Saccharomyces cerevisiae S288C: one gene and its partner. The gene in region 1 interacts genetically with each later gene. Each region holds a gene or a part of one and is shown in the gene's direction. Other genes may lie near its edges.

Evidence for each region.
Region 2: mutations in NTG2 (region 1) and MCR1 together harm fitness more than expected from each alone (negative genetic interaction), as found in Saccharomyces cerevisiae (one large-scale study listed by BioGRID).

The regions. Positions count from the first base shown.
Region 1 is NC_001147.6:245,730-253,856, reverse strand, and holds NTG2 (bifunctional N-glycosylase/AP lyase NTG2), read left to right. Parts: upstream 1-4,322; coding exon 4,323-5,465; downstream 5,466-8,127. Other genes in the region: 40S ribosomal protein uS19 RPS15, read left to right, coding at 280-708; rRNA-processing protein NOP12, read left to right, coding at 1,211-2,590; NGL1 (RNA exonuclease), read right to left, coding at 2,941-4,032; PEX15 (Pex15p), read right to left, coding at 5,556-6,707; serine/threonine protein kinase PSK2, read right to left, coding at 7,055-8,127. UniProt on the Saccharomyces cerevisiae protein: Bifunctional DNA N-glycosylase with associated apurinic/apyrimidinic (AP) lyase function that catalyzes the first step in base excision repair (BER), the primary repair pathway for the repair of oxidative DNA damage.
Region 2 is NC_001143.9:164,499-167,952, forward strand, and holds MCR1 (cytochrome-b5 reductase), read left to right. Parts: upstream 1-2,045; coding exon 2,046-2,954; downstream 2,955-3,454. Other genes in the region: NNR2 (NADHX dehydratase), read right to left, coding at 419-1,432; DBR1 (RNA lariat debranching enzyme), read right to left, coding at 3,114-3,454.

The DNA.
Region 1 (8,127 bases):
CTCTTTGGAAGGTCTCTTCCGTCCGTTTCACTCGGAGTAGGTTCTCTGAGAAACTCCTTGCTGGGAAGCTGCGAGACAACACCGTAATCGTCTGCTTGGCCCTTCCTATCCGCAATCAATTTATTCCTTTTTAATCTTTTGTGCAGAGTTTCACATTATGGTATGGTCTCTTCTTTTATTTGTTCTTGGATTTCATTTTTTTCTTATTTGTTAGTGCTTATCCTTACATTGTAGAATAAGACGAACTAGAAGTACACAACAAGATAATCACGACCGATCATGTCTCAAGCTGTTAATGCCAAGAAGAGAGTTTTTAAGACCCACTCTTACAGAGGTGTCGATTTGGAAAAATTGTTGGAAATGTCCACTGAAGATTTCGTCAAGTTGGCCCCAGCTAGAGTTAGAAGAAGATTTGCCCGTGGTATGACTTCCAAGCCAGCCGGTTTCATGAAGAAGTTGAGAGCTGCCAAGTTGGCTGCCCCAGAAAATGAAAAGCCAGCTCCAGTCAGAACCCACATGAGAAACATGATCATTGTTCCAGAAATGATCGGTTCCGTCGTCGGTATCTACAACGGTAAGGCTTTCAACCAAGTTGAAATCAGACCAGAAATGTTGGGTCACTATTTGGGTGAATTCTCCATTACTTACACCCCAGTCAGACATGGTAGAGCCGGTGCTACTACTTCCCGTTTCATCCCATTGAAATAAGCTCCCTAATAACAGAATCGCAGTCATCCTTGTATCTTTTTTATATATAATGTCTAGGTATTAGGAAAATAAAATTTTTGTTTATTGGTATTATTATTATAATCTATTATATTATATTTGTTTAATTTCTTTTATGAAGTGAATGGGGGTTGTACACGGAAAGCAACAATAGCACTTGTTTCCGCAGACAGCTTTTAAATTGCCTTCCATCATTACTGTAAATGTTCGTCCTCATATATGATATATATTGTAAGCGGACGTGAAACCTCAACTCAAGTGCTTCATTTACTGTCACGGACTACTTTCATCAACTTTCTATTTTCTTTGATATATTGATCACTTAAAACGAACTTCGAAATTTTTTCAAGCTCATCGCAATTTTTTTTTGCTTGTCTAAATTTTAAACTGTTATATTGAAGGTAGATAGCTTGAGGCACTTTATTAAGAAAACAGTCGACATATCATCCACCAGATTATCACGCTATAAATTTTAAAGTGAAAAATGTCCTCTGCAATTGACAATCTCTTTGGTAACATTGATGAGAAAAAAATAGAATCTTCAGTAGATAAGCTATTTAGTTCATCCTGTGGACCTATTAATAAATTGGAAGTCAAAAGCAAAACACGTACTGTCCTTCCTGATTCGAAGAAAAGGGAAAGAGCTGCCGAAGCTGATCAAGAAGAAAAAGAAGCAAGCAAACCTGATGTTTCAGATGAGCAAACTGAAGAAGTTGCCCTTCCAAAAGTAAAGAAGGCCAAAAAAAGTAAAAGGAATGACGAGGATGAAGACTTAGAAGCCCGCTATTATGCGAAACTACTAAATGAAGAAGCTGAGGCTGAGGATGATAAACCAACAGTAACGAAAACTGATGAAACTTCAGTACCACTGACATCAGCAGCTAAGAAAGTTGATTTCAAAGAAGACGAGTTAGAAAAGGCAGAAAGAACTGTTTTCATTGGTAACATCTTAAGTACTGTCATCACATCTAAAAAGGTTTATAAAGAATTCAAAAAACTTTTTGGTACAAATCCGATAGCAGAAACTGAGGAATCTGGTAATGAAAAAGAAGAGGAAAGTTCTAAGAAAAGTGACAATAACGAATTTGCCATTGAAAGCATAAGATTCAGATCTATTTCCTTTGATGAAGCTCTTCCTAGAAAAGTTGCGTTTGTCCAACAAAAATTTCATAAGTCAAGGGATACAATAAACGCTTACATCGTCTATAAGAATAAGTCTGCTGTAAGAAAAATCTGCTCGAATTTGAATGCTGTCGTTTTCCAAGATCATCACTTAAGAGTTGATTCAGTTGCTCATCCAGCTCCGCATGATAAGAAGCGTTCAATCTTTGTAGGTAACTTGGATTTTGAAGAAATAGAAGAAAGTCTTTGGAAACATTTTGAACCATGTGGCGATATTGAATATGTCCGTATTATCAGAGATTCAAAGACAAATATGGGTAAGGGATTTGCTTATGTTCAATTTAAAGATTTACAAAGTGTAAACAAAGCACTTTTATTGAACGAAAAGCCTATGAAGTCACAAAAACAAGAAGACGAAAATACAAAGAAACCAACTAAAAAGGCAAGAAAATTGCGTGTTTCCAGATGTAAGAACATGAAGAAGGGTACTACTATTGGGACCGGCTTGGATAGAAATGGGTTGACAGATTCACAAAGAACCAGAGCAGGTAGAGCTAAAAAGATTTTAGGTAAGGCTGATAGAGCCACTTTGGGCCAAGAGATAACTATCGAAGGTTTAAGAGCAAAGAAAGGCGAAGGTTCCACCCATCTAAAAAAGAAGAAACAAAGATCCGCTACAGGTAGGGTTACCAAAAGATCGATAGCATTCAAGAAAGCTCAAGCTGAAAAGAGCAAGAAATAGTTTCATTAGTTTTCACACAATATCAATTTTGTTAGAGATACACTGTATATTATTACTAGTTATTTCTTATCTCTTGTAGCTTCCTCTATACATGCTGGCATTTTTTTACATAGTTCTAATAGTATAATATACATATAAAAAAGAAAAATCATGCGTTTTATATATTTCTATAAATACATTCATACCCAAATTATGGAACACGTTCGGAATATTACTTAAAGAATACTGCAATAATGGAAAGAATATTTGAAATGAATAAAAAGTATGATAACAAGGTTATAAGAGAGGTACAAATAAAATAAAACAAGGAATGAAGAAAAAAAGCACAAAAAAGGCAAGATAGTAATGCCTCACAGTATTTTGAATTCTGTTAGTAGAGGTATATGATCACTAGGATGGTTTTCATTGGGTAAACCCAACTGATTAGACGCTAGCAATTCGTCTGATACTTCATTACCGGTTAGGATCTTAGTTAGTAAAAAATCTGAATCATGGTACCATACGTAATCAAAGATGCCCTTCAATTTTCCTGAATAGCACGTATGTACAAAATAATCCTTTGGTATATCGTCATAGACACAACGATCCAAATACGGCCTCATTGGGTTAATAAGATTAAGGTCTCCATGGCTAACTATCTGACCTTGCAGAAAATTAACAACTAGCGAATCTCTTGTAGAATTTAGATCACCAGTGAATAAAATCTTCACCCTTTCTTGGCCTTTTACATCTCCCGGTAGGAGCTGCTTAATGATCTTTGATAACTCTCTCATTATAATCATGCATTGTGTTAGCTTAACTTCGTCATATTTCCAATACAAATGAGTATTTAAAACGACAAAAATAGTACCCGTCTCCTTATGTCTTAGAGATACGAATAAGCATACCTGATTCTTGCCTTTTAAAACATCCAATAAGCTGTCTTCACCAATAACATTGGAAGCACCATCGGTTAATGTTACCTTCTTATTGTATAAGTATTTCAGTTCCCTTTGATTGAAAACATTCAGTAGCTGGTTTAAGTAGATCCCTGATGACGATATAAAGTCAAATTTTGCAAGATTATAGAAAATAGATACACCGTCCATATCTTTAACCGGTTTTTTCCAATACTTTGGGGGTGTCTTGGAAATGAATTTGGACCCATAATTGACATCTACCCCTATGGAATCGTGCCAATAATCTTCATAATCTCTTGCGGTCATTTCTTGGAGACACATAATATCAGCCTTGAAAGTATTCAAAAGTTCTTTCTCCAGCAGTCTGTGCCTATAACTCCAGTTTTTGTATGGCTCTGCAACGTATGTGTATACCTGTGGCCACATATATGACGGTGAGAGCATGTTGTATGTTAATAAAGTGAACCTAGCATCTTTTCGCACATATTTACCGATGTTTTGCTTAGTTGACTGAACAACTGGAATAAACCTTCGAGTAAACATTGTTACTTGTATGAGCAGTAAATCTCTCTCCAATGTTCTTTTTTGCCGTTATCCAGCTTAGTTTGTGTAGATCTCCTTTCTTCTCTAACAGGAACAATTAAACAACTCATGGTTAATTTGTTAGTTTTGTTGCCGAGAAATCAAAATCAGCTGGTGAAGCAGTTATCCTAACTTGGGAATATACATGTAGTAGAAAGGAAGGAAGGCAAGGACCTCTTTAGCATTTTGAATCTGTTGCTTATTGGGAGCACACAAAAAATGTATAAGCACAACGTCTTTCACAGTATATAATGAGAGAGGAAAGTAGGTCTAGGAAGAGAAAGCATATTCCTGTTGATATTGAAGAGGTAGAAGTTCGATCTAAGTATTTCAAAAAGAATGAGAGAACTGTTGAGTTAGTAAAAGAAAATAAAATCAATAAAGATTTGCAAAATTACGGCGGAGTAAATATTGACTGGATCAAGGCACTGAAGCCAATAGAGTATTTTGAATGGATCGAATCAAGGACTTGTGATGATCCGAGAACTTGGGGACGGCCAATAACTAAAGAAGAAATGATTAACGATTCTGGGGCGAAAGTTCCTGAGAGTTTCTTACCCATATATAATCGGGTGAGATTAATGAGGTCCAAGGTTAAAACCCCGGTAGATGCTATGGGATGTAGCATGATTCCTGTTTTAGTTTCTAATAAATGTGGGATACCTAGTGAAAAAGTCGATCCAAAGAATTTCAGGCTTCAATTTCTTATTGGCACTATGCTTTCTGCTCAAACGAGGGACGAAAGGATGGCGCAAGCGGCTTTGAATATCACCGAATACTGCTTAAACACATTAAAAATAGCAGAGGGTATTACGCTAGATGGACTGCTTAAAATTGATGAACCTGTATTAGCAAATCTAATTCGATGCGTTAGCTTCTATACCAGAAAAGCCAATTTCATCAAAAGAACCGCACAATTATTGGTAGACAATTTCGATTCAGATATACCGTATGATATAGAGGGAATTCTCTCGTTACCTGGAGTTGGACCTAAAATGGGATATTTAACACTGCAAAAAGGTTGGGGGCTGATTGCCGGCATATGCGTCGATGTTCATGTCCATAGGCTGTGTAAAATGTGGAATTGGGTAGACCCTATTAAGTGTAAGACTGCCGAGCATACTAGAAAGGAGTTACAGGTTTGGCTACCTCACTCACTGTGGTACGAAATAAACACCGTTTTGGTTGGATTTGGTCAATTGATCTGCATGGCCAGGGGTAAGAGGTGTGATTTATGTCTAGCAAACGATGTCTGCAATGCTCGCAATGAGAAGCTAATCGAATCTTCCAAATTTCATCAATTGGAGGACAAAGAAGACATCGAGAAAGTATATTCGCATTGGTTGGACACGGTTACAAATGGAATTACAACAGAAAGACACAAGAAAAAATAGAACCACCATTCATTGTGGAAAAAGATGAAAAACCATTATGTATGTCATTAAAATAAGTAGGTAGGGTTTTATAAACTATTCAAATATTTCTCATATACTCGCTAGAAGTTTTAGCAACCCTACAATCTGGGGGTATACAGTGTGAAAGGCCGCTGGAACATGTTTGAAAATTGCCATCAATGACTTATATTTTTTCAAACATAAGAGTAGCAGCAGACCTGTGAGCAGAAGTCCGTTTTTGTTCAGCACACTTCTTGTGAAATGATGCTTCAGGACAGCCCAAAATGAACCAGCCAGAACAGTAATATCATTGTTTTTTTTACGGGGCGCCGTTCCAGTACTCTGGAGTCTACTATCAGTAGAGGTGCGTTGATTAAACGCATCCTCAACCTTAACCTGTTCTTCACTACTATTGTGTAACATAGGCTCGTGAAAATGGTGTATTTTCTGTTTCACTCCTCTTTGTTTACCTTTAGACTTCGCCTTATCTTTTTGTATTTTATTATCTATTGAGTTCAGAATAGCATCCTCTATGGAAACATCTTTAGATAAGTAAAGGCCCTTTAGGGTTGGAGATAACTTAGGTAATGTTTTGCAAAGCGCCCAATACATATTCGGTGAGGGTTTTTTATGATGCAGTTTTACCTTCACCTGAAAGATGAATATCTCGATTAATTCTTGTAAGCCAACTACATCTATAGTTGTCCTCATTTTCGTTATGTATACGAAAATGAAATCACTCATTATGGATTCAAGCTCCAGAGTTTTTTCTTCTTGTTCGGTGTGATCAGTTAAGTTAAACTGAATAACCTTGATACAGCATCGAAAGAATTTATTGATGACCAAAAGTTTACTGAGGTCACCGAGAATAATTTTTCTTGTCTCAATACATTGAGGGGTATCTAACGTGAAAATATTCAAAATCTCACTCTGCAGTGTTAAACCTAATTTGGTAAAGCTGGGCATAATATCACAGGCGCTGACAAATAAATCTAATATCATAGGGTTGGACTTGAAAACGGTAATATCAATAAATCCAACCTCAGACATTTTTTCTAGGCAATCCTTGATATCTCTTTTTATGAAAAGGTTCACACATTCTTGAAATACTTCACTCCTCTGATCATTTACCGACTTGGTCGATTCATCACTTTCAATGAATAAGTCATCGTTAAGTAAATCCCTTAGAGAAGAATCGAGGGAATGCATAGGCAGATTGTTCATTATCTCACTTGCAGCCATTATTCACAGAACCCTCTTGTATAAACCACACCGTAGTACGTTCTGCTAGTGCCTCTTTCTGTTTACCTAACTATTTCTCTTGCCTAAATATGTAAGTCTACGATGACTTTTCTATGGTACTTGATGTCACTCCGACGGCGATAAGCCGCTCAGCGCAGAAGTTTGCCCCAAAATAGAATGAAAGAAAATACTGCATAGAGGCTGGACAAGAAGGATATAGAGCAATGATATGATATTAAAAATGTAATTAATATATAGCCAAAAAAAGAATAGAACATTTATGAAGGTAAATGGTTATGAAAATGGATTAAATTATTCTTTCCCTTTATCTTGGAGAGTACGGAAAACTAGATTTTAAGCCATTTATCTTCATATATTTCATCAATAGTAGGTCTTTTATCAACTTCTCTTGTCAAAATTCTTTTTATCAAACTGATGCATTCTTCACTGACATGTTCCGATTTATCGAACCTTAATTCACCTTCCAAGATTTCATCAATGTTGTAATAAGGATTCTCTTTATAAATTATGGTATAAAGTAGCACACCAAGAGCCCAAATATCTTGTGGTTTACCTTTGTAAGAGGAACCACCAAGGACTTCAGGTGCAGCATAGTCCATTGTTCCCACAAAAACATCGAATGGTCCACTCTTGATATAGGCAGCCGAACCGAAATCGATTAATTTTACAAAGCCATGAGAATCAACAATAACATTTTCGTCCTTTATGTCTCTATGAACAATTCCTTGGTCATGTAAATGCTTTATACTAGCGACTACCTGTTTAAACACCAGTTTAGCTTCATGTTCAACCATATCTTTTTTGAATTCGATAACATCAAATAGATCAATACTACCAGTTTCTCCATGGACCGGTGTTTCAATGTAATAATAATCGTCATCTTCAAAAAAATCTAATAACTTCAAGATATTTTCTTGGGAATTTTTATTCAAGGTCGCCATAATTTGGATCTCAGAAGGTATAGTACCTAATTTTCTATCTCTCACCCATGTGTCTACTAAAATCCTCTCTTTGAAAATCATTTTGATGACCACGATATAGTGTTCTCTGTTATGAATGCATAAATTGACTTTACCGTACGCACCCTCACCCATCACTTGCAGAATAGTAAAATCAGAAAATTTCTTTATGCGCTTTTGTGAGCCTATATTAGCCTCTGGAGTAGTCAAGTACGTAGCTTTTAAAGTAGAATTTCTTTTGTCTAGCTCATTTGTTTCCTTTTTGATTTCTTCTCCGTTTATCGGTTCAATTATCCTCATTATAAATTTTTCATCCACTTTAAAGTTGTCGTCCTTTACAAATTTTGATTTGTCCTGCGTGTACATTTTCGTTAATTCAATTTTATGTTTTAACTCAGGATCATCAACCATTGTCATGTCATCGTCATAGTTATTGTTGT
Region 2 (3,454 bases), on another chromosome or scaffold:
GTTCATTATTTCTTCTTTGTTATATAACAAACCCAAGTAGCGATTTGGCCATACATTAAAAGTTGAGAACCACCCTCCCTGGCAACAGCCACAACTCGTTACCATTGTTCATCACGATCATGAAACTCGCTGTCAGCTGAAATTTCACCTCAGTGGATCTCTCTTTTTATTCTTCATCGTTCCACTAACCTTTTTCCATCAGCTGGCAGGGAACGGAAAGTGGAATCCCATTTAGCGAGCTTCCTCTTTTCTTCAAGAAAAGACGAAGCTTGTGTGTGGGTGCGCGCGCTAGTATCTTTCCACATTAAGAAATATACCATAAAGGTTACTTAGACATCACTATGGCTATATATATATATATATATATATATATATATATATGTAACTTAGCACCATCGCGCGTGCATCACTGCATGTGTTAACCGAAAAGTTTGGCGAACACTTCACCGACACGGTCATTTAGATCTGTCGTCTGCATTGCACGTCCCTTAGCCTTAAATCCTAGGCGGGAGCATTCTCGTGTAATTGTGCAGCCTGCGTAGCAACTCAACATAGCGTAGTCTACCCAGTTTTTCAAGGGTTTATCGTTAGAAGATTCTCCCTTTTCTTCCTGCTCACAAATCTTAAAGTCATACATTGCACGACTAAATGCAAGCATGCATGATATAGCTCCTGTCAAAGTATCACCTTGGCCTCCTACCCTCTTGTTGCTGCCCTCTTCGCTGTTCGTCAACATGTCTTTTTCACTATCGGGTGAGAATATCTTATCTGACTGACCTTTCTCCACCACAATACAATTCAATTCCTGGGCGATCAAGCTGCCCATCTCGGAGTGAGAGTCTCCCTTCTTGCCTATGGCATCACATAGTCTTTTGAATTCTACCACATTGGGCGTCAAGATCACTCTACCTTTGGGGTAGCTTTTCAGCATTTCTTTGACTTCGCTATCTTGAGTTACTAAGAACAGTCCATCAGCATCAATTACTAACGGGATCTTGCCCTCATGTTTTTCAAGTATATATCTTATGATATCCTTAATGGATTTTAACATTAGGGGGTCCCTACCCAAGCCGGGTCCAATTACCACAACGTGGATTCTATCCAATAAGGAATTGATTTTCTTCCTTTGTTCGTCCATATCAACGTCTAATTTGGTGTTACTCATACGAAGGTATGGATGAACCATTAGGTTTGGGGTGTACGATTTAATGACCGTACCAGCGTTGTATTCGCAGATGACATGTGTCAAATCACAGCCCATCAAGGCTGTAGCATTGGCGCTGAAATACGGTGCCCCTGTATAATCTTCGCATCCTCCAATAATGCAAACTCTCCCACCAGACTGTCCCTTATGAAACTTTGGCAATAAAGGTGGTATACATCTTTTCTGCGCCAACTTTATCAATTCTCTATGAGACAATTCTGCTAACATTTCCAGTGATACGGTAGTGATCGTATTGAACTGGTGTTGCTAATAAAATTTCACCGACGCCTATATACCTATTTACACCTTTACATATATATCTACTAGATCACGTTGCAAGACCCATCACATCGCATCACATCACATCACTCCCTATTCTGCCCTTTACAGCGCAAAGGAGTCGTGTGTGGGTGTGTGCTCCTTTTGACGATCATAAGAGTCCATTTCTAGTATGCAAGCTGGTAACAATAGGTGAATGAATTAGGTTCATTTGCGATGACCTTCAGTATCCCTCCACGCAATGCTAAACTATCCCCCTCATTATGACGCCTATATCGTATAAGGAACTTGTTACCCCTGACAATTCAAACTTCAAAGGTCTAAGACCAAACAAGCGTAGGAACTATCGCTCGGAGTGTTTCTCCGTTTGAAAAAAGAAGAGAAATAAGGGCCCTTGATTGGTGTCTTGTCGAGAGAGGTACGTATATAAGAATGCAGTTTGCTCGCAATGCCCGCTTGTGTTAAGTACTCTTACCTTTTCCCTCAATACTAACGTTTTGAAGCAGCCAAACTAACAATAGTATAACGTATATAGGTTAAAATAATATTCCAAGTCAAAAACATGTTTTCCAGATTATCCAGATCTCACTCAAAAGCATTACCGATTGCTCTAGGTACAGTTGCTATAGCAGCTGCTACCGCATTCTATTTTGCAAACCGTAACCAACATTCCTTTGTCTTCAATGAATCTAATAAAGTGTTCAAAGGTGATGACAAATGGATCGACTTGCCAATATCTAAAATAGAGGAGGAATCCCACGACACCAGAAGGTTTACTTTTAAGCTGCCTACCGAAGACTCAGAAATGGGGTTGGTCCTAGCATCTGCTCTGTTTGCTAAATTTGTCACACCAAAGGGATCCAATGTGGTGAGACCATACACTCCTGTGAGTGATCTTTCCCAGAAGGGTCACTTCCAGCTGGTCGTCAAGCATTATGAAGGTGGTAAAATGACCTCACATTTATTTGGTCTTAAACCAAATGACACCGTTTCTTTCAAGGGTCCTATTATGAAATGGAAGTGGCAACCTAATCAGTTCAAGTCAATCACCTTGTTAGGTGCCGGTACCGGTATCAACCCTCTGTACCAATTAGCTCATCATATAGTTGAAAACCCAAACGACAAGACCAAAGTTAACTTGCTATATGGGAACAAGACTCCTCAGGACATTTTACTAAGGAAGGAACTGGATGCGTTGAAGGAAAAGTATCCTGACAAGTTCAATGTTACTTACTTTGTTGACGACAAGCAAGATGACCAAGACTTTGATGGTGAAATTAGTTTCATCTCCAAAGATTTTATTCAGGAGCATGTTCCAGGTCCAAAGGAAAGCACACATTTGTTTGTCTGCGGTCCCCCACCATTTATGAACGCTTACTCAGGTGAGAAGAAGTCACCTAAGGACCAAGGTGAATTGATCGGTATCTTGAACAATTTGGGCTACTCCAAGGACCAAGTTTTCAAATTTTAAGCATGGAGGAAAGTAATTGATATTTTTTTTAATTTCGGATCGTTCAAATTAGTAAATATATAAAAAATATATATATATTCATGTGTATGACTAAAAATTCTCTCAAGAAGGCTTGGCTTTAAGCTCTAATTCCGTCTGCATTCGTAATAGAAATATCTCTCAAGTCATGAATTTAGAGATAAATGCTTTAGTTTGTCGTACTTCATCTTTCTGAATATCTAAGGTGTATGCAGGAATGGCATAATTTTCCCAATCAATATCCCTTCCTTCCTCTCTATTAGATTGAGACAGTTCTATCCAATTGACGCTATTAAACGGTTTATTGCTTAGGAGATTCTTATTTTTTTGACAAATTACCAAATTATTGATAAATTCAGGATCCCAGAACATACGGTGATTCTCGTCCTTCCACGAAGCATGCGATGTATCCGGTTCTATTTCCAGAATTTCTAACCAACGTCTTCTTGGCAGGCACTTGTCCAACGCCAAGAACCGTGTCT